2 linked regions of the Cricetulus griseus genome follow. The protein of the gene in region 1 purifies or fractionates together with the protein of each later gene. This does not show direct contact. Links are inferred from orthologs where the notes say so. Each region holds a gene or a part of one and is shown on either strand. Other genes may lie near its edges. The genes, in order: Ranbp6 and Armcx3.

Region 1 (11,571 bases):
ATCCTGTGTGGCTGGAGACTGAATGTCTTGAGACTGAATGCTGAAGACCGAATAACCGAATAAGCCCCTGAGCTCCTGTCTTATATACCTCTCTAGTGCTGGGATTAAAGGTGTGTACCACCACTGCCTGGCCTCTGTGGCTGTGGTTAGCTTTGCACTCTGATTTTTCAGGCAAGCTTTATTATATCATAAACCAAATATCACTACAGTCTCCAATGTAATTGGAGCTTCACATACATATACATACCTATTCATATACAGGCACACATCTTAAAATGTCAGGTGTATTATGTTGTATAATTTTAACAGTGGCCACAGGTCTTACTATTAATGATTCCCCTTAGGATACAGAGTAATGCATAAAGAAAGTTTAAACAAATAAAATATTTATGAACACAGTTAACAAATAGCTGCAGAATATAACCAAAATCACAAGACATTGAAATAACAAGATTATATCTAATCGCATATGACTGGCAGATAAAAAGGCAGTTTTTTGTTTTTTGTTCTGTTTTTTTTTTTTTTTTTTTCAATACAGGGTTTCTCTCTGTAGCTTTGGAGCCTATCCTGGTACTCGCTCTGGAGACCAGACTGGCCCTGAGCTCACAGAGATCAGCCTGCCTCTGCCCCCCAAGTGCTGGGATTAAAGGCATGCGCCACCAACGCCTCAACGCCTGGCTTGGCTTTGGTTTTTTGAGACAAGGTTTTTCTGTGTAGCTTTGGAGCCTGTCCTGGAACTCACAGAGACCCATAAAAAGGTGGTTTTTAAGGTAGAAAAAGGCTCTGGTATAGGAAATCTCTGACCACATACCAGTGCAATATATGAAGTTAACTAGAGTTTTGAGATTAATAGTGGCCAGACAGCATTAGAGTGCTTGATTTAATGAAACCCACGATGGGGCATAAGTCAATGAGTGGAGTGAAATAAGGGGAGCAAGGATCCTTGTGCCCTTGAATTTCCTCCTGGACAGGTGATCAGTGTCAAAACCAATGTGAGGATGGGTGGCCTACAGCAGAGATTTCCCCACTTTGTGGTAACCCACCAACTTGATGGTAGCACTGGTGTATTTGAAAAATGCTTTCATTTCTGATTTTCTTTGTTCTGTTACTATAAAAACTCAATGAAACTACTGCAATATCGGTACATGGAATTTGGAGTAACCTGAACCTGTATTCCCAAGCCACAGTTACTCTGGGCTGCTGAATAAACTATCAATTATTCCCTCAGAGGTGAGAGGTGTGTGTGTGTGTGTGTGTGTGTGTGTGTGTGTGTGTGTGTGTGTGTGTGTGTGTGTGTGTGTGTGTGTGTGTTTAAGGGCTGTAAGAGGCTGCTGCTTCCAGAAAGAAGGGCTATTGTTGAGGCAACCCAGAGAAAAACAGAAAGAACAAGAAACAATCCCTTTCCTGACCCTGCCTCTTTTGACATTGTCCAGTCTCTTGAGGTTCTTGTTGGCAGAAGCCAACAGAGATCCAGCTCTGAGTGGAGACACTTGTTAGACAAACCTAACCTTAGCATCAGAGAACAAATTATACAAATATAGATGGATATGAGCTTAAGACAACTGGCAAATGGCACTTTCAGTTTAAACAGAAAGTTTAAACAATGATTTCCATTGGCTTCGGCCTAAACTCCCTATTTAAAAGCTCCCAAGTAGGCTTCATCTAATGGTCTAATGCCTCTTGAGGATTACCTGGATCCATTGTTTCATTCAGTGCTGTTGCAGAATAGTTCTCTGACTGAGGCATTCTTTTTGCATTGATTAGGTGGAGTCTGTACAGAGAAACATTCCCTCACCAACTATTTGGTTGATTTAAATTACAATTTGTGCAGGAAAAGACAGGGGAAACTTGATTACTGCTCTTAGTCCATTTTCAGAGTTGCTGGCTTAGGAATCTAAAGATGATCAGTGGCTTAGCAAGTTTTGATATTAGAAATTTGTCACATTTGTTCATAATTTTGATTCTCTTTTAATCTATTGTAGGCATTTTTCTCTTTTATATTCAGGTTGTCTCATTTTAGGCCATTTAAAGTGTTCATGGCATTTTCATGACATTTTGTTTTGGTTTGTTTTCTGTATTTTTCTTATTTGTTCTGGATTATTCTTGAAAAAAAATATCATGCATGATCAACTTAATTCTATCCCTTTCATTTTACTCTAAATTTCTAAGTCCTTCAGTGAAATTAGTAACTTATCCTGACCTTTCCCTGACTTGGCAATAAACACCCTAATTGTCTGGTGTTGGGTTACTCTGGGGAAATGATCTTGAGATGCCCTCTCCACCAACACAACAAAGCTAGAGTTAATTACAGAATTTAAAATTGTTCAATTGTAACCAAATTGGCAAGCCAATTTAGGGTATTATGTACACTTCTCATATGGGGAAAGAGAAGGACAATAACAATAAAAAATTAACTACAAGGTAATTTATCCAAGAAGTCATAAACGATTGCCCTAAAACAGGTTCAATTTTGCTCCTACTGTTGAAATTACAAGTTGTTTTATCATGTGGGAAGCAGTGAGAGAACAAAATAGACCCCCCAAGATTCACCTTTTTAGGAAAAGCTTTTTCCTCCCAAATAGCAGTGTTTTTTTTTAAATATATATAAACACTGATTTTTATTATTTTAGAAATAAATAGACTGGCAAATAACAGCACCTCAAACCAGATGACCAGGGAAACTCTTGGGAAGATGTTTTAGTCTCCTTCTCGTATACTGTGCACTGCTTTGTTACCTCTCTGGTCTTTGCCTTCTTTCCCGCCATCAAATTCAGCTACTGAATTTAGACTTTCTGGTTAACCAAACTAGGTAATTGACCAACATAATGTCTCTATTCTTTATGCATCCGTTTTCCTGTTCATGCAAATTGCTCTAAAACTTGATTCATAGCACTTGATTAAAATCTTGTCACCTTTAGGGAAAGAACCCACGTTTCTTAGCATGGACTATGATACCCTTCATCATCTGGTCTCGACTTATCTCCCTGTCTTCCTCCTTGCTGACCCGGCCCTCTCAGGCCCCACACCTAATGCTTGACTCTGAAACATGGGCAGAGAGTTCTCACAGTTTGCTTCAAGGCCTCTGTATTTCAGCAAGTTGTTCTCACTTGTTCTCTCTCTCTCTCTCTCTGTCTCTATCTCTGTCTCTCTCTGTCTCTCTCTCCTCTCTCTCTCTCCTCTCTCTGTATCTGTCTCTCTCTCCTATCTCTCTCTCTCTCTCTCCCTCTCTCTCCTGTCTCTCTCTGTCTCTGTCTCTGTCTCTGTCTCTCTCTGTCTCTCTCTGTCTCTCTCTCTGTCTCTGTCTGTCTCTCTCTCTCTCTCTCTCTCTCTCTCTCTCTCTCTCTCTCTCTCTCTCTCTCTCTCTCTCTCCCCAAATGGTTAACTAAGAGTTCAGAAGCCAGTTCGGACGTCACCTCCATCTGAGATTCATGTCACCCACTCTGAACATGGACTAATAGGAATAATCAAGTTTCCCCTCTCTTTTCCTGCACAAATTGTAATTCAGGCCCACCAAATAATTGGTGAGGGGATGTTCTTCGGGGCAGACTCCCAGTTGATTTGCTCTAAACCTCAGTGTGTTAGGCGGTTCCTTAGTGCCATGGACAGAATTATTAGCACACTAATTCCTTATATGACATCTACTATGTCCCATAATCGTCTTCGTGAAGTTGCTCTTTGTGTGTGTACTGTATGATGGGCTTATGTGGGTGTGTGCACATTGTGGAAGTCAGAGGTCAACTTCCGGTGTCTTCCTAAATCACCTCATGTTATTAAGAAAGAGCCTCTGACCAAACTTTGTGTAGGCTGACACTGAGCTCTAGAGATCTTCCTGTCTCTTCCTGCCCTGTGCTGGGGTATACATGTGCAGTGGGGTTTTCCATGGGTATTGAGATCCAAACTCAAGTACTCGTCATGTTTACACAGCAGGAACTTTATCAACTGAGGCATTTCCCTAGCTTTTCTTGTATTTAATTTTTGGTGTCCAGCACTATGCTTGCTATAGCTCTGGTGAATATTTTCTGATGGAATAAATGTATGACTGAACAGTCTTAACAGCATTTCAACCATTTTTCACTTTGCACTAAGTTATTCATACTCCCAACATAATATCACTGCACCAACCTTGGCATTGTTAGTCATTTGCATTCCAAACACAGCAGGGGGTCTGCCATTGCATCTTGCTGTAGCTTTAATAAGCTCTTAGTATGCTAATGGTTGTAGCTGTAAGGAAAGCATTTCTCCCACATTCGTTAACATTTCCTAAAACTGCAGATGCAAAGCTTTTTGCAGCCAAACTTTTTCTAGGAGCAGTAAGAAAATCATTAAGTATGGTACGAGGTGAAGAACTACAGGTAAGATCTTAGGATCAGAACAAAAACTGATTTGATGCATAATTCTCAAATTTGGGTATTTATATGAAAACCTACTGTGCATATTCAAATTATATATGCTGGGATTACAGGTTTCAGAATGCTAGTTTAGTAGTTTGGAAGCTGGTCCTAAGTGATCTTGATATGGCCCACTATCAAGAAACACTATTCAGAGAATAGTTGCATATTACAAATTAATTTAAGAGACCATCTATTTGGTCTGTCATCTTGTTAATGTGAAAACTATCATTTCTCCATTTTGTGTGTACATGCAACAGAATTCCACGAAACTGAAATTCAGACTGCTTGGCAAAGTTTAAGACAGAAAACAATAATTGAAGGTCTTTGATGATGTTGCAAAAGCAAGAGTGGTTATGGGCGAGTTCTGTGGCGAAAAGGGTGCACTCTAAGGAAAGGTAGAATTTAGACTCAGTTGCTATCTTGGGCAAGTCCTTCAGTCTCCCCGGTTCTCCATTTCTCACCTACAGGTAGTACTATTTCTATCCTTATCAACCTCATAGAATTATATAAGGGCTAAAAATGAGTATAATAACTGCTAACACTAAGATCTGATCACAGACAGTTACACTTTATAATTAAGGTTTTAAATGACACACCTGCCTAAATTAAGACGCCTAGCCCCGGGGAATTTGTTCTGAGGGTAACTTTTGCAGCTTCCTATTAAAGGGTAATTAAGATTCCAATAACTGAACTCTGTCGTATTGCAGTTTAGAAACACATGTAAGGGAAATCTTGAGTGACAAAGACACAAAGTTAATAGAAGACCAGGATTGAAGAAGTTTATTACTCCACATCATTTCCACCATACTTACTTAGTTCTTCTTTTCTCATCTCTATTATAATCCACATTACTTCATTGGATGTGGTAGTGGGGAGGAAATCGTTATCCTTTAATTGAGCTTATTTTGCGAACAGCTTTATTGTGGTATCACTCATATACCCTGTTCACCAATTCAAATAATAGAACTCAGCATTTCTTAGTAAAATGGCATGGCACTGGGGAACCGTCCTCACTATCAATTACAGAACATTTTCATCAACCCTCAAAAAGAAATCCCGGGACAGCGGACCGCAGTTATACTCCATGCCTCCCCTACTCCATAGCATCGGCTAATTAAAGTCCGTGTAGACGGCCTATTTGAGATCTTTTATAAGAATCAGGGCATCGTACAGTATGTAGGCTCTTCGGGCGAGTTTCTCTCCTCCTATCTCCTTCCCGCCTCTGCAGGTGCACAGGGATCGGGAAACACGAGATACCCCCGGTATTCTCCCGGCTCCGTCATAACGGTAAAACCCCGATCCCACCCCCACCTCACCCCCCTTCACCCCCACCCCTACTCCCACCCCTTCCAGCGTTACCCCCGCGTCGGTCTGGGGAGCGCGCCCCGCCCATCCCCGCCGTCGCCTCGTTGACGTCACTGCTCCAGCCGCAGACTCCCTCCCTCCTTGCCGGTCGCGGTAGCTTTGACAGGGCGCGATGGCGGCGGCCGGGTCTGCAGGGTTGCCGGCGACCGTGTCGGAAAAGCAGGACTTTTACCAGCTTCTGAAGAACCTGATCAATCCAAGCTGTATGGTGCGGAGGCAAGCGGAGGAAGTCTACGAGAATATCCCGGGGCTGTGTAAGACTACGTTCCTCTTAGACGCCGTCCGAAATAGAAGAGCAGGTTATGAGGTGAGACAAATGGCTGCCGCACTGTTACGACGGCTTTTGTCCTCTGGGTTTGAGGAGGTCTATCCAAATCTGCCTTCTCATGTGCAGAGGGATGTCAAGATTGAACTGATACTGGCTGTTAAGTTGGAAACACACGCTAGCATGAGGAAAAAGCTTTGTGATATTTTTGCGGTGCTGGCCAGGAATTTGATAGATGAGGAGGGCACTAACCATTGGCCAGAAGGTCTGAAATTCCTCATTGATTCGATTCACTCTAAAAATGTGGTTCTGTGGGAAGTGGCACTTCACGTTTTCTGGCACTTTCCTGGGATTTTTGGGAACCAAGATCGCCACGATTTGGATATCATCAAGAGGTTGTTGGACCAGTGCATTCAAGATCAAGAGCATCCAGCAATCAGGACATTATCTGCTAGAGCTGCAGCTGCGTTTGTCCTTGCTAATGAAAACAATATTGCTCTTTTCAAAGACTTTGCGGACTTGCTTCCTGGAATCTTACAGGCTGTGAATGATTCCTGCTACCAGGATGATGATTCGGTGCTAGAATCCCTTGTCGAGATTGCAGATACCGTACCTAAGTATTTGGGTCCCTATTTAGAAGATACTCTGCAGTTGAGCCTGAAGTTATGCGGAGACTCGAGGCTTAGTAATCTGCAACGCCAGCTGGCTCTGGAAGTAATAGTGACCTTATCCGAAACTGCAACTCCGATGTTGAAAAAGCACACGAATATTATTGCACAGGCTGTGCCTCATATATTAGCGATGATGGTTGATCTACAAGATGATGAGGACTGGGTAAACGCCGATGAAATGGAAGAAGATGATTTCGACAGCAATGCAGTTGCTGCGGAGAGCGCACTAGACAGACTGGCTTGTGGACTTGGTGGAAAAGTTGTTTTGCCAATGACCAAGGAGCATATCATGCAGATGCTTCAGAGCCATGACTGGAAATGTCGACATGCTGGACTGATGGCCTTATCGGCCATCGGAGAAGGTTGCCATCAGCAAATGGAACCAATTCTGGATGAAACAGTTAACTCAGTTTTGCTTTTTCTTCAGGATCCCCATCCAAGGGTGAGGGCAGCTGCCTGCACTACACTTGGACAGATGGCCACAGATTTTGCACCTAGTTTCCAAAAGAAGTTCCATGAAATAGTGATTACGGCGTTGTTGCGAACCATGGAAAATCAAGGTAATCAGCGTGTGCAATGCCATGCGGCTTCTGCCCTTGTCATCTTTATTGAAGACTGCCCCAAATCGCTACTAGTTCTATATTTGGAAAATATGGTAAAAAGTCTACATTCCATCTTGGTAATTAAATTGCAAGAGCTGATTCGGAGTGGAACTAAGTTGGCCTTAGAACAGCTTGTGACAACCATTGCCTCAGTTGCAGATGCAATAGAAGAAAGCTTTGTTCCATATTATGATATATTTATGCCCTCCCTCAAACATGTTGTTGAGCTTGCAGTTCAAAAGGAACTCAAGCTTCTTCGAGGAAAAACTATTGAGTGCATTAGCCATGTTGGTCTTGCCGTTGGGAAGGAGAAATTTATGCAAGATGCATCGAATGTGATGCAGTTACTGTTGAAGACACAATCGGACTTAAATACTATGGAAGATGATGACCCTCAGACTTCTTACATGGTTTCAGCGTGGGCTAGAATGTGTAAAATTCTTGGAAAAGACTTTCAGCAGTATCTTCCACTGGTTATCGAGCCTCTTATTAAGACTGCCTCAGCTAAACCTGATGTTGCTCTCTTAGACACACAAGATGTGGAGAACATGAGTGATGATGATGGCTGGCAATTTGTAAATCTTGGAGACCAGCAAAGCTTTGGAATTAAAACCTCAGGACTTGAAGCAAAAGCAACTGCTTGTCAGATGTTGGTTTACTATGCTAAGGAGTTAAGAGAAGGATTTGTGGACTATACAGAACAAGTTGTGAAGCTGATGGTTCCTTTGTTGAAATTTTATTTTCACGACAATGTTCGAGTGGCAGCTGCGGAAGCCATGCCCTTTCTCTTGGAATGTGCAAGGATCCGTGGCACGGAGTATCTTTCACAGATGTGGCAGTATATATGTGATCCCTTAATCAAGGCCATTGGAACTGAACCTGATACAGATGTACTCTCAGAGATAATGAATTCTTTTGCAAAGTCCATTGAGGTGATGGGAGATGGTTGTCTCAATGATGAACACTTGGAAGAACTGGGAGGAATTTTGAAGGCAAAGCTTGAAGGGCACTTTAAAAACCAAGAGTTGCGGCAAGTAAAAAGGCAGGAAGAGAATTATGATCAACAGGTAGAAATGTCTCTTCAGGATGAAGATGAATGTGATGTTTATATTCTGACCAAAGTATCAGATATCTTGCACTCATTATTTAGCACTTACAAGGAGAAGATTTTGCCATGGTTTGAACAGCTACTTCCTTTAATTGTGAATCTAATTTGTTCAAGTAGGCCATGGCCAGATCGACAGTGGGGATTGTGCATATTTGATGATATCATAGAGCACTGCAGCCCAACCTCATTCAAATATGTTGAGTATTTTCGGTGGCCAATGCTACTCAATATGCGAGATAACAACCCCGAAGTCAGGCAAGCTGCTGCTTATGGACTGGGTGTTATGGCACAGTTTGGTGGAGACGATTATCGTTCTTTATGTTCAGAAGCTGTTCCACTGTTGGTAAAGGTTATTAAGTGTGCAAATTCCAAAACGAAAAAAAATGTCATTGCTACAGAGAACTGTATCTCAGCAATAGGAAAGATTATGAAGTTCAAGCCCAATTGTGTGAATGTAGATGAGGTTCTCCCACACTGGCTGTCATGGCTCCCGCTGCATGAAGATAAAGAAGAAGCTATTCAGACTTTGAATTTTCTCTGTGACCTAATTGAAAGTAACCACCCAGTTGTGATCGGTCCCAATAATTCCAATCTTCCCAAAATCATCAGTATAATTGCAGAAGGAAAAATTAACGAGACTATTAGCCACGAAGACCCCTGTGCCAAACGCCTAGCTAACGTTGTTCGACAGATACAGACTTCTGAAGAATTATGGTTGCAATGTATATCCCAACTTGATGAAGACCAGCAGGAAGCTTTACAAGAATTACTCAATTTTGCTTGAAGCACTTTACTATCACTTGAATATCAGCTATCATAAAAATAACTACAAAGTTTTGTGAGTGGATCCTTACAAATGAGAGATACCATTTCTCTCTGCTAAGCAGTTCATACTTCAGGATTAGTGTTAAGGTCTTCTGTTTATTTTGCATGTGTCATCTCTTAAAGAAACTGTGGTTGTAACTTGTGCTTCCAGTCAGTTGTCCTAAGAGTTCTCTGTCACCTTCCCCCTATTTAGTGTAAATGTATATAAATCATTGCTATTTGTCTGAACTTTTGATGCTGGGTAAACGGTATACTTGGTGCCAAGATGTCTGTGACTGTCACAAGATGTAAAAGAGCTCATAAAGAAAGGGAAACTTCCAGGATAAGCATCTTTGGAATTGAGGGTCGAGTATATTGGCAGACTTACTCTTCCTTGGTACTCTTCCTTGGTAATACTTCTGTTTGTTATGGTACTGGAAGGATGCTAGACCTGAAAAAGTTTCAAGGTACTGCAGTGGATGTAGGAGTTTTTTTTTCTATAATATAAATGAACCTTTTCATGTAGAACTCCTGTAAAGGGGTTGGAGCATGACTAAATTCCAATTTACAGGGTGTCCGGTTGAGAGGTACAAGAATTTAACCAAATTGGTCTTTAAAAAATTATCTAGAATTGAAATGGTGTGGAGGAGGAAGAGCTGATACATCTAACCCTGAAAGCATGGGATAGACTTGAACAGAGCTTAATAAATAATAGTCAATGTTTGTGGGAGTCCGTTATTGTTACATGTTTTAGCTGAGTGTTTATATGTAATACCCCCCTATCCCCCACACTAAACAAGAAAGGAAACCTTTATTCAGAATAAGGGAATAAATAGATTTCTGTTTTGAAGCAGTTCTTAACAGATTCTACAGAAACAGTGAAACAAACTTAATTTCATCTTTAAACATTTAAAAAATGAGCTTTAAGACTAGTCATGTATCAGTGTATTGTTTTACAAAACAACTCTGAATTTAGGGTTAATTGTATTAACTGAAATGTCTTTACTGTTGAAGGTGTTTTGTAGAGTAGAAAAAAGTTTCTACTTAACAAACTTCACTCAAAACTTACAAACAAGAATGTCTGTTGTGATTTCCTGAGCCTGTTGTGTTGTGTATGTAATGGAGCAAATATGTCAGACCCAGTAAGTGCTCAATAAAGTGTCAGTGTTACTACTGTTGGTTGTTCTTCTACTGTGTTCTTTTTCATGCTTTAGAATTTGGTTTACAAATTTCCCTCCCTACTAGGTCTATCTAGACTACTGTAGACAGGGATATAAAGTTAGATTTTTAGATAGTTCAGAATTTGATATATAGTATGGTTACAAGTGTATTTAAAATAAATAGCTAGCTACCTTGAAGTTTAATAGTTTTCTGTGGGTGGTGGGATTAAATGGCAACTTTTCTATAAATTAAAATTACATACAAACAACGTATTTCTCATATAATAAAGTGTTTTTTTTGTAAAGTTCAAGGACCTCATTTACTATCATTTTGACCTCTTCATGAACTGGAGTTAAGGTTCCTTCTACTTACTGAGCTCTTTCTCTGTGTGGCCTAAGAAATCTTTCATCAGTATGTTGCTTGCAGGTCATATAGTCTTGTGAAACTGGCAAATGATTTGTAATTGGGTACTTGGAGTTTTGAAGTAAGAGAGAGTTTAAATTTGAATTTTGATTTTTCTAAGTGTTTGTTTCCCTACCTGCAAGATGAGGATAATATGTTGTTTATGTGGTGGTTGTCTTAATGAAAGGAGACAATGAATATAAAGTGCTAAGCAGCAGAAGGGTCAGTAAATGGAAGCTATTGTGTGAGAATTTTGAAATAGGTCTGGTGGCTAAAAGGGAGTGGGCATTTGCTTGAGTTTGGTAGGCTTTTAGATGCTTGGGTTTTGTCAAAGGAAATGAAGGAAGCCCAACCAGACATATTTGCCAGTTGCTGTAGTAGAACTGGTCCTTACCTTTTTTCCTCATGAGCTGAAGTATGTCTGACAGAGAGAAAACCAAAAATGCCAGATGAGTACGTTATGTGTGAAGGAGAGTGTAACTACTCTAAAAACTCATGTTCTTGTTTCAGTATTTTTGCTACAAAAGATATATAGCTTTCTGAACTCCCTACAAAAAAAGTTTTAAGGCACTACATTTTATCAGTCCTTTAAACGTCTTTATGCAGAAGTAAACAATCTTGAAGGTGAGATCTCAACCATTTATAAATTTCATGTTCAAATTGCACTTCTATAGTTTCGATTTTATGTATCATTCCAAGTTTCAAACAAGTAAGTCTGAATATCACATGCATTAGAAAACAGTAATAACTATTTTGGGGCTCATTAATTTCCCCCTCATTTTATGCAACGTGAACTAATGTG
Region 2 (11,540 bases), on another chromosome or scaffold:
CAAATTAGTAGCATCACAGACTACCTGCTTTTCATTCAAAGGGATTTCAATTTTGTACTGAAGTTTCATGATGCAAAACCATGAACCACCCTGAAATTAGGGCACTCTCTGCTATCCCATAGATGGCAGTTAATACTTGACAGGTGGAGATTTCATACCATTATAAGACTAGTGAGACCTCCTCAGGTCTGCCCTTCATGCACTATATCACCATATCAATGATGAATCTTCAGCATGAAGTCTTCATTTCCAGTGACAATGAGGATAAAGAGTCTGTGGATAACTGTAGATTGTAAAAACACTGGTGACATCAATTTCTTTTCCCTCTCATAGGTAGAAGACCAAAATACAGTATCCCAAGTTGTCCCCAGGAGAAATAGGCCTTTTTCACCCCCTGTCTTCCCTAATAACTTTACTGCACCATCCTCACAAACCGCTCAGAACTCAGGGACAAAATATGCAAGAGTGAGTCCCCAGGCGCCACCTGTTCACTGCTGGGAGTCATACTCTAAATATAGACCCCCAGGCTGCTTCTTTCTTAGCATATTGAAATTTGACTCGCCTGCCAGAGGCCTTCCCTGTGCATGGCCTGTGTGGAGGAGGCCCTTGCAGGAGGTGAGGCAGGGAATCCATGCCTTGTTGGCAAATATAAGAACTCCGGAACAAACATATCATCACTCTCTGGTCTTCCTAACAACTCGACTCATTTAAAATATCAGGTCCCATTTCCTCTGGCTCTCTGTTTCATTTGTTTTGCTACCGTGCTTTTTTTTTTGCTGTCTTTCTATGATTTTCTTAGCTAAGTAAATCCTGTCTCTGAAAATTTAGGAATAAAATGCTCAGATTAAACTGTACTTTTAGTGCTTGCCTACCATGAACTTACACAAGAGACCTCTGTTCATTTGAATATAAACATGAGGAAGAACTAAGAAAAGCAGGTGATCGGTTCTGCAATGTGAACTCATTTTCACATTTTGTCAAGTTTCAGGGACGAAAGCTTCACGCCTACTTCTCTTCATTGCTACAAAAATCTCTCTCTCTTTTGCTATGTCATCCAGTCATTTCAGCATAAAAACACAGAAGAAACCACCAATCTCTCAGTTCATCAGGACCTTCTAGTTTGAATCCACTCCCTATCTAAAACTTCTTAAACCCCAGGAGCATGAACCTTTTCAGTTAGTTTACATCTCTGTCGCTTTAGTTCATAATTCTTACCAACAAGCACAGGGGCTATGATTTAGAACCACTTTGTTCTCCATTATATGCACACACAAATACTTTTTAAAGGACCTTGTAGACATCTGATACACCATCTTAAATGTGAGAAGGGAAAATGCTTAAGTACCCAGGCAAGTCTGTTTAATGTTTTCAGAGCCTATTAGAACAAACAACAAAAGTTTGTAAAACCACTCCCCAAGGAAACCTTTTGATGGCCACACATATTACATGAAAATAAAAAAGGATCAGCAGTTGGTAACACTATGGTCTATGGAGGGAAACAAAAGAGAAGGTTGGCATTTGAAAAGCTTTGGATACTGTGTTACTTGATGTAGTACTGTAGCTTAGTTAAGGTTGTCTCATTGCAAGCAGATTATCCAAGTCTGGTTAACACAGAGAACAAATGCTAAGGAGCAAGGTCAGGGATCTAGGTAGGAGAAACTGATAGATGATCGTTTCACCTAAGTTTACCTGGTTTCAGGTTGTTATCTCCTTGCTCAAGATTAAAATTTTAACAGGAGAGCTTCTGGTTGGAGTGTTTTGGCCACAGTGTCCATCTTTTTGCTAGGGAAATACAGAGTATGTTAAATGTGAAATACATTCACTCACTTTCTTTAGTATGAAGTGTGAATTGTTTAAAATGATGATTTATTTTGAAATTATTGACTTTACTTTTTATTTATGTGATGTGAGTGTTCCTGTTTGTCTGTATGGCACCACATGCACTGAAGGTAAGAGACAAGGGGTCAGATCCTCCGAAATGAAGTTATAGTCAACTGTGAGCCACCCCAACGATGGGAGTGCTAGGAACCGAACTTGGGTCCTCTGCAAGAGCAATGAGTGTTATTGGACACTTACTCCATATTTCCAGTCCTAGTGTATATCATCCTTTAATTATTTTGCACAGTGAGCCTTTGTTTAGCTGTCACTGAGATTCTAGGAACCTGTCTACCTCCACATGCTTGAGTCATAATTTCTACATTACCTGATCATTAGAAAGATACAATATGAAACGACAATGCATAAGGTTGCCCTTGGAACCAAAGCCACCTGGCTTCCCTGACAGGATTCCATAGGGTTGCATATAGAGTTCAGGGTGTTGTCTTGAGTGTTGCACCATCTACCCCAGCTTTTGTCTGTAAACAGAGAGCAGATGCTTCTGCGAGTGACAGACTCTCATTCAAAGATGCACATGTAAACCAAGATCTGAATGTTACACTCACCAGTCTCTGTCTTCTCCTCCTCTTAAATGGGCTACAATGAAAGTTATACTTCAACTGGACTAACAACTGAGTAGTTTACCTTGAGAAGTACAAGTGCCAGGGGGCAAAAGAGGTTTCTGCCTGTCTTACCTGTCCATGCTCTCTTGCAGTTTGCTTGATGAACCTAGAATCAGAGTGAGGGCATTCATTCATCTTAAGGAGTGACTTTTAGCCTAGGAAGTTTGAGGTATTCTTACACATCATGGAGTTGGTTTTGCCAAGGATGAAATGTCCCCTTTACCTTAGCCAGAACTTCCTCTCTTCTAAACAGTGCTTGATGGGAACTATTAACATTTTCATCTGATGCCCTTTTTGTGTGTGAATAAGTCTCTTTGTTGCACTTGATCTTTCTCTAAATACAGAGCCATACAGTTGATTTGGCTCCATTTACTAAATTCAAAATCGAGTCTCAGTTCTGCTTTCTAGAAGCTACAGTGATAAAAATTTTCCTAAACTCTTTGTACTCTAGATTTACTCCTATGTTTCCTGTGGATTTGGAAATTTCTATCCAGATACCAAACTTGTATCTAAACTGCTAGGGAATTTCTCACAGAAGAGCTCATGTTTAGGAATGCTACATTACACTATGTATTCTGCTATTTGTTTTTGTACTATGTATTAAGTTAGCCTTGTTGGGCAGCCAGCAACTGAAACCAAACCTGGTTAACTAAAACAATGAGAGAGTGTAATTACTTTGTTCCCTTTTCTGTCTCTGAAAGTTAAAATTGCAAGAGAATTCTTGTGTTTATCAAGCTAATCAGTGCAATGGCTTCATACTAATTGCTAGATGCCAAGTTCAGTCAAGTTTGCCTTGCTCTTTGTGTTCGTGTAATACTATTTCATCTGCAGACGTTCTGTGTTTGTATCCCAGCATATTTCACAATGTTCTTTGAATATCACTTGCATATCAGTGTGTCCGTTTTTATCTAACAGACTTGATTTCTCCTCAATCTTTTCTGTTCCTGACTCTGGAGAACCCAAGCCTCCTCCTGGTTAACTTGTGACCTTCAAAGCCTGTTGCTTAGTCAGAAGATTTACATATTCTCAGGCAGGCTGATTAGTTCATTCAAGTTGTGTATGTTCATTCAGCTGTGTTATGTGATAGGCCCCAGAAGACATTAAAATTCCTTTGAGTAAAGCGGGTAACACTTTCCACTAATTGAGAAATGTGGGACTTTTAGAGGCCACCACCCAGCATTGATCTCCTAACTCTACTCTTAGTTTTCCCCTATGGAAATACTTTTTTGTATTTTTTCCCTCATAAATAGAATGCAGGCTGTGAACAGGCGAAAAGCCAAGGTGAAAATAACCAAAAAAGTATGAAGAAAGTGAAAGATACACTCTCATTCCAGGTTTCCTTTTCTGGTTGCTTATTCATTTCAGGTCTAGGACTACATTTCAGAGGAAATGGTAGAGATTCATAGCCGGGAGGAGGGGAGGTAGAGGGAGAAGCTGCTGTCCCAGGAGTCTAGGGAAGGAAGAGTCAATTAAAAAAAAGTACAAGTGGCCAGTAGCCCCAGGGGAGGATGCTGTCCTGTTTTGGTAATTGGAGGAAGGGAAACACAACTAGAGGAAAATGGGATTAGCCGCAAAGAAGAAAGAGTAACAAGGCCTGGTATGGGGGAGGGAATGAAGGGGGGGCGGGTCCTCTTCTGCCGCACTGCTGGTGGGAGGGGAAAGTGGGGATCCGAGTTGGTGGATGACGTCGCTCTCACGTGACCAAGAGCTGACGTGTGCAGAAGTCCTTCTTGTCCTGGTCGTTGTTCCCGTCTGAGTACCAGCTCCTTATCACCCTGAGGGCGGGCGAGCCTGTAGCCGAGGCAAGAAGGAGGCGGAAAAGAAATTGTCCCGGATCCCTGCAGGTCAGTGCTTGGGATATTTCATAAAGTGCGGGTGGTGGAGGGTGGAGGGCGGAGGCCGTCGCAGGTCCGGGGGCGCCGCCGTCGTCTCTCCCACTTGCCTCTTCTTCCCAAGATATGTGTCCCGCCCGCAGCCCATTTCGATGCTGCAAAACAGTGAGTAGGGGGTGTTAGAGCAGGCGCTCAGAAATCAGGAGATGGGAATCTGCTGCGAGCTGAGGCCCGCAATCCGGAAAGGGAGCTGTGGCCTGGGTGTTGGCCCCTGGTCCACCAGGACTGTGCCGGCGGGGAAAAACTGGACATAGGGTCCGGCGTAGTGGGGTGCAATGTGATGTGTCAGCCGAACCCCGAGCCGGGTATCGGGCGGGAAACCTTTAACAACCAGGCCTCCGAATTTGGAAAGAGTTTCGTTCTCTGGGGACTGGTCCGTCCACCAAGCACTCTGTAGCGGCTGTTTCCCGTCTTTCTGCCTGTGGCCGTGTCTTCCTTACCATGGCTCTGTGTCTAGTGGGTCCAAGCCTCTCCTGGGTGGCCAGTCTTTCCGTAGGTTGTGGTACCACGCCAGGCAAGAGAAGAGGAAGGAAATTAACCAGATCGGTGAAGGTCGATTTGAGGGTAAGACCATCTGGGGACCCTAGTAGCGGCGGGGGTAAAAAAAGGGGTAAAACCAGAAAAGGTAATCTACGTTTAGATTTGAGTCTAAATGTGTTTCTCACACTCTCCGAACTGTGGAGAAATGGCGTGCGCTCTCTCTCTCTCTTTCTCTCTTTCTCTCTTTCTCTCTCTCTCTCTCTCTCTCTCTCTCTCTCTCTCTCTCTCTCTCTCTCTCTCTCTCTCTCTGTGTGTATGTGTGTGTGAGTGAATGTGATCGCAGGGGTGGGTGCGGGGGGCGGGATGACAGCAGGAAAACCTATCAGATAGTTTGTTCATAATCCTTCTCTCTCAACAGCACTTAGTGTCCATGTTTTCGATCTGTCATCCTGCAGGTCTGCTGTAGCAGGTGGCACCTCTTGAAGCAAGGGAGGAACTTTCCCCGGATCAGTAGAGGTCGGTGTGGGCGTGGGGGCAGTCTGGAATGGGGGAGGGGTTAGAAATCAGACTGGGTTTGGCCAGGCTCACTTAATCCTACTTTGTTTCCTTACATCCATCCATTTGAGACTAGGGAGGGGGGGCTCAACTGTGCGTGTTTTGGATGGATGGCACAGCGAGGTTTAACAAAAATCTGACAACCTGAATGGTAAATTAGGAAAGCATAAAATATACAGCCCATGCAACAAGCCCTCGTTTTTTTTTTTCACTGTTTCTGGTATCTCTGCAGATCAGAAAGATTGTTGGGCGTGGCAATACCTCACAGGAAAGGAAGAAGGGGGCAAACTGCTTGTTTCCAGGAGGTTAGTGTATGGGTGCCTATCCCATAGGGTATCACAGGAGCCTGTGACGGATGAGAGCACAGAAAAAATTGCGGATGCCGTTGACTTTATGCTTAGAGGCAAGAGTGACTGGGGGTGGGGGGAAGGGAGGAGAGGCATTCAAGGAGAGAGTGAAATGAGGGAGATCGAGGTTTTTGTCAACAATATGTATTCCCTATGCAGAATTCAATTACTACCTTCTGGCCCCTCGGTGTGATTGTCTGCATGGGGCAGTGCAGAGAAGAGAAAGCTGAACCCTCTTTTCTTCTTCCATTTCTAGGTTTGTCTCCAGAACCAGTTACACTGGCCTTGAAGTGACTGAAGAAGACCATTCTCCACAGGCCTGCACTTAGGCCCGAAGCCCTCTTCCCCTATTTTGAGTGACTACTCTATTTCTTTGTCCCTGCTGTCGTCAGGGACGATTGCATGGGCTACGCCAGGAAAGTAGGCTGGGTGACTGCAGGCCTGGTGATTGGGGCTGGAGCCTGCTATTGCATTTACAGATTGGCCCGAGGAAGAAGGCAGAGCAAGGAGAAAATGGCTGAGGGTGGCTCTGCTGATGTGGATGATGCTGGGGACTGTTCTGGGGCCAGGTATAATGACTGGTCTGACGATGATGATGACAGTAATGATAGCAAGAGTATAGTTTGGTACCCACCTTGGGCTCGGATTGGCACTGAAGCAGGGACCAGAGCTAGAGCCAGGGCCAGAGCCAGGGCTACGAGGGCTCGGAGAGCTGTCCAGAAAAGGGCTTCTCCTAATTCAGATGATACTGTTTTGTCCCCTCAAGAGTTACAGAAAGTACTTTGTTTGGTTGAGATGTCTGAAAAGCCTTATATTCTTGAAGCAGCTTTAATCGCTTTAGGTAATAATGCTGCTTATGCGTTTAACAGAGATATTATTCGTGATTTGGGTGGTCTCCCAATTGTGGCAAAGATTCTCAATACTCGGGATCCCATTGTTAAGGAAAAGGCTTTAATTGTCCTAAATAACCTGAGTGTGAATGCTGAAAATCAGCGCAGGCTTAAGATATACATGAATCAAGTGTGTGATGACACAATCACTTCTCGATTGAACTCATCTGTGCAGCTGGCTGGCCTCAGATTGCTTACGAATATGACTGTTACTAATGAGTATCAGCACATACTTGCTAATTCCATTTCAGACTTTTTCCGCTTATTTTTAGCAGGAAATGAAGAAACCAAACTTCAGGTTTTGAAACTCCTTTTGAATCTGGCTGAAAACCCAGCCATGACTAGAGAACTTCTCAGGGCTCAGGTGCCATCTGCACTGGGCTCCCTCTTTAATAAGAAGGAGAACAAAGAGGTTATTCTTAAACTTATGATAGTTCTTGAGAACATCAATGACAATTTCAAATGGGAAGAAAATGAGCCCGCTCAGAATCACTTTAGTGGGGGCTCACTTTTTTTCTTTTTAAAAGAATTTCAAGTGTGTGCTGATAAGGTTCTGGGAATAGAAAGCCACCATGATTTTCTAGTGAAAGTAAAAGTTGGGAAATTCGCAGCCAAACTTACTGAGCGGATGTTCCCAAAAAGCCAGGAATAACTCGGTGGCTTTGTAGTAGAGCAGCAACGCACCTTGTAAACTATTCCTTTTCTCCACCTTGTTTATATGGCAAAGGAATCCTTTCAGCTGCCAATTTTGAATAATGAGCATCGTACTGTATCATTGATACTGATATATTTAACCGAGTTTGTCTTCAGGTTTAAGTTGGATGAATGACTATCACTACTTTTCCTGAAAATATGTTTGTTGCTTTTTATCTTGCTGCCTGGATTGAAATATTTTTACTGTTTTCCTCCGAATAAGTGACAGTGAACCAATTCATCCTTTTTGGTCATTTGCATCCATTTTATTTGTGCATCATCAATAAAGATTTATGTTAATGCTGGAAAGAAGCAACAGAAGCAGAAACTATCCTGTCCTTTGGTTTATAATCTAGTTGTAGAGATAAGAAACATACAAACAACGACAACAAAAACCAAAAACCAAACCCTAAGATTATTTGGAGCATGCATTCTGTCAGATGTGTGCCTTCAGAGCATGGAGGAGGCAAAGGCTTTGGTGGCTGGCTACAGGAGTCAGTTAAAAACTTCAGGGAGGAGAGAGCCATTGAAAGGGAGTCCTTATTGGAGTAGGGAAGTCAGTGCATTCCATGAGACCAGACTTGAGGGTAGATGATGTGAGAAAGGCATTAATTTAGGAACCCTTATGATAGTCAAAACAGCCTTCTTAGAGTGGAGAGTGTGGAGAGTAGGGTTAAATCTGTAAAACCGTATGAAGCCCATTGCAGAAGGCTTGTTGAATGTATTTTTAACTAGGAAAGAGTTGGGGTCAATATAAAAGTCCTCCCACACTGTGTCATAAAGAATGGTATAGCATAATGGCTCCTTTCTAACTCTGGTGGTGGGCATTTGACAATACATATCATTAAGCCTTAAAATATGGAAACCTTTTATCCTAAGGAGATAACTGAATAACTGGCCAAAGACTGTATGTGCAAGGCTGTTCCTGTCAGCACTGTCTTGAGGTAGTAACCTTGGGAATAACTTCGGTGTTCAACACACTGAATTGACTTAGTAGATTAAAGAATGTCCATGCTGTGTGGCAAATGTGCTGATGGAACTCGGTATTGCTAGAAAAAGATTTTCATCATACATTGGTAACTGAGCAAGGGAAGTTAAAGAGCAGTATTCAGAGTATGGCTACATATTGCGGGGGGGGGGTGTGTGTTAAATCATGTTTAAAGACACTAAAATCTATGGAATTATATATACCCAGTAGTACTAAGAGTTATATTTGGATGAAAGATAATGAGCGATACTTACTTTTTGTACTTATTATTCATCTATGTTTTCTTATTTATCAAAAATTAATATTGATTTTAAGAAAGGGTTGGAAAAAGAAAAGTACAGGGAATGCAGCAGGTGATTAATTTGAACATGTACTGGCTGAGTGGGAAATATTTAGGCCCCAAAGGAGGTGGTCTAACGCTTCCACTTCAGAATGAGAGATGATGGTGACTATAAGGCTGGCAGTGAGATTCGAATAAGAGAATTTATGCAAAGTAGCTTCACTATTCTTGCATATAGCAGCAATTAGAAATGTGAGTACCTTTAAGTACACAGATGTAGTATTGATGGGTTTTGGTTACCTTTTGTTTTGCTGGGGCATTCTTCCATGTTTCAGTGTCATTTAATAAATAATAATAATAAAGGTTAACATTTATTAAGTGATTGCTGTGTAGAGTTCTGTCATTCCTGCAAGGAACCTGTGATAATTTCTCAAGTGTTCCAGGACTAAAAGTATCACCTCAATCATGATCTCTCCTGCCTTCACGACATTTTCCTCATTGGTGTGAGGATGTAATTCTGCTTTCTCTGTGACCAGGAAATGCTGCTGTCTTCTGTCTAGTTATGATTTAGGTTGAATGCCAGGTTTTCACATATGTACTCTAATGTCTGTAGTAGGACCAGGGACTGGTTGGCTTCAAGTTGTTGGATCTGGTAACCTTAAGTCATTCATGTATAGGAACTCATTTGCTAACACGTTAAAGGATGAGATGATAGGAAATGAAGTGAAAAAAAATTTCTTGCCCCTGCTAAGTAAGATAAAAAGGATTGTTATGACGGGGCAGGAGCAGATCTATTTCAAATAAATGAAATTTGAAGTGTTTGTGTGATATTCAGATACCACATTGTCATTTGAATGAATTACTCCTGCTTTCAGTGAAGATGTCTAGGCTGCAAATGAGAATTGGAGAGAGCTGTTAGAAGGTAGATGGAACTGAGGACAGGGGCCTGGCTGTAGTCTGTGGAGACTGCCTAAAGCAGCTAGATAAGAAACTAGCAGCTGGGGAGAGAAGCACCTAATTTAGTCAGTCTGTTTTATATTTTCTCATTAAAAAAAAAAAAAACTGCTTCGAAATGCTTGAGAAGACAGAGGCAATGAACAGAAAGTTGTTCCTTAAATCAGTTCTAGAATGAACGCATACTTGGGCACTCAGATCAAGCCATGCTGAGCTTGAGACACTGAGTGACTTGTTTATTCCCAGGCTGCAAAAGAAATGAAATGAAGTCATGGGAAGGCCCAGTGTAGCAGGCACACTCCTGCCTGGCATCATCTGCTGCTTTTCTCCCTGTTACTCCTTGTTCCTTTCCCTCCTTCTCTCACTCCCTCTCTTTTTCCCTCCCTCACACTTCTGTCTCTATTTCCTCCTGGGAGTTAATTGGTGGTAGTCAGTCTGTGCTGTTCTGCCTTTCTGGGGTGCCTTTAATTCGACACAATGCCATTCACGGGGGGCATTTTATATACAGTAATATTTGCTATTTTGTGGCCATAAGGTGCTTTGATTTTTTTGTGGAACCCTTCTTGAACAGAACAGACACAGAAGGAAAATTCTTGGCTTCTTGTTGCCCTGTGTGCTCGGCATGTATTTTTATGTCCTCATGCACGGTACAATTTAAGTTGAATAGCACACTCTTTGGGCAACTGCTGGGTGAGACTAGTGTGGGGCATGGCTGGGCCACTTCCTGGTGTCCCAGTGTTTCCCCTGGAAGGTTGCAGCTCCCAACCATTTTTGGAAGAGCAGGATCCAGGCCTGGGACTGTCTGCAGAGCTCATGGGGCAGGTCAGGGACAAGTTACTTTCTTCTCTTTTGGGGACGGTGTCAAGAGACCCAGCGGATAGCCTGCTATTTTGATTTTCTCCTCCAACAGTTCTGAAACTCCCTGTGTCAATCTAACTGTGCTCAAAGATAATTTTCTAATAGTGGGGCTCAGTTGTTTTAATCGTGCGCCCCCCCCCCCAAAGCCTAACTTTTCAAGGCTCAGGAAACAGGCTTTGTTTCTTGAATTCACATTTCATCGGCTTTGTTTTATAAAAACTCCAGCGTGGGGTAGACAAGTGATGTCACCACCATACATTTCATATGCTTGAATGTCGGGTTTTGCTAGGTTCTCTTGAGAGTGGTTTTGAACACCACAATAACATAAGACTGTTTTTCCATGCCGGCTGTTTACAGTACGTTTACACCACATCCCTGGCTGCAGCTTGTCCCTGGTTTGCCTGTTTAAGCTGTGGCTCTTCCTTGATTTTAACCCAGAGTAGTCTCAGCTCCATTGTTAGGTCTCCTGTGTGCTCAGGCTGAGGGCAAGGTGGGGGCAGGGAAGGGGTGTTTACTACTGACAGAGCTTCACCCTCTCCACTGGGGCCTTGTGAGGCCTGTTTTGAGAGCTTGGACAATGTGTGTTCCTGAAGAGGGGTGTGGGAGGATTGGGAGGGAAGGCAAGGGATGGAAGTCCTAGTGGAGGGGTGAGTTTGTCTGCCTAGGTTCATGCAAAGGTAATTTGATCCCCTATTGAGAGTGGGCTGACCATTTACATCCTGGAAGGTGAAAGAGGAGCTCTAAAAAGGGCAGCTTTGTTTGAGCTTGCAGCCTCCTCATTCACTGAGCCTTGCTGAACTTGCAGAGGATATAACATGCTATCAAATAAAGTGGGACTTCCTTTTGAAAATAAAATCTAGAATTATAATTTGTTACTGTGAGAAATAGAATTAAACTACCAGATTCATTCGTAGACTCTGCTGTCCTGAACATTCTTTCCCTAAGGTAATAAGATCCTGACCAGAATTGAAATTATCGCAGAAATGTATTGTTTATTTAGTACTCAGGGAACGTACCCAACTTAGACGAATGCCAGTGCCGTCTAGGTAAGACAGCCTGGCACATCATGTTTGCGATGGACATTACCTGGTTGCTAGAATACAGT

What was found.
Region 2: the proteins of Ranbp6 (region 1) and Armcx3 purify together in Homo sapiens (co-immunoprecipitation; 3 studies listed by BioGRID and IntAct, counting the BioPlex papers as one, with this or other methods). This does not show direct contact. The link is inferred for Cricetulus griseus from reciprocal best matches to the Homo sapiens genes RANBP6 and ARMCX3.

The regions. Positions count from the first base shown.
Region 1 is NC_048596.1:31,600,103-31,611,673, forward strand, and holds Ranbp6 (ran-binding protein 6), read left to right. Parts: upstream 1-5,825; 5' UTR 5,826-5,868; coding exon 5,869-9,186; 3' UTR 9,187-10,384; downstream 10,385-11,571. UniProt on the Homo sapiens protein: May function in nuclear protein import as nuclear transport receptor.
Region 2 is NC_048604.1:45,331,843-45,343,382, reverse strand, and holds Armcx3 (armadillo repeat-containing X-linked protein 3), read left to right. Parts: upstream 1-4,176; 5' UTR 4,177-4,342; intron 4,343-4,847; exon of another isoform or gene 4,848-4,954; intron 4,955-5,325; 5' UTR 5,326-5,386; intron 5,387-5,657; exon of another isoform or gene 5,658-5,730; intron 5,731-6,028; 5' UTR 6,029-6,174; coding exon 6,175-7,314; 3' UTR 7,315-7,686; downstream 7,687-11,540. UniProt on the Homo sapiens protein: Regulates mitochondrial aggregation and transport in axons in living neurons. May link mitochondria to the TRAK2-kinesin motor complex via its interaction with Miro and TRAK2.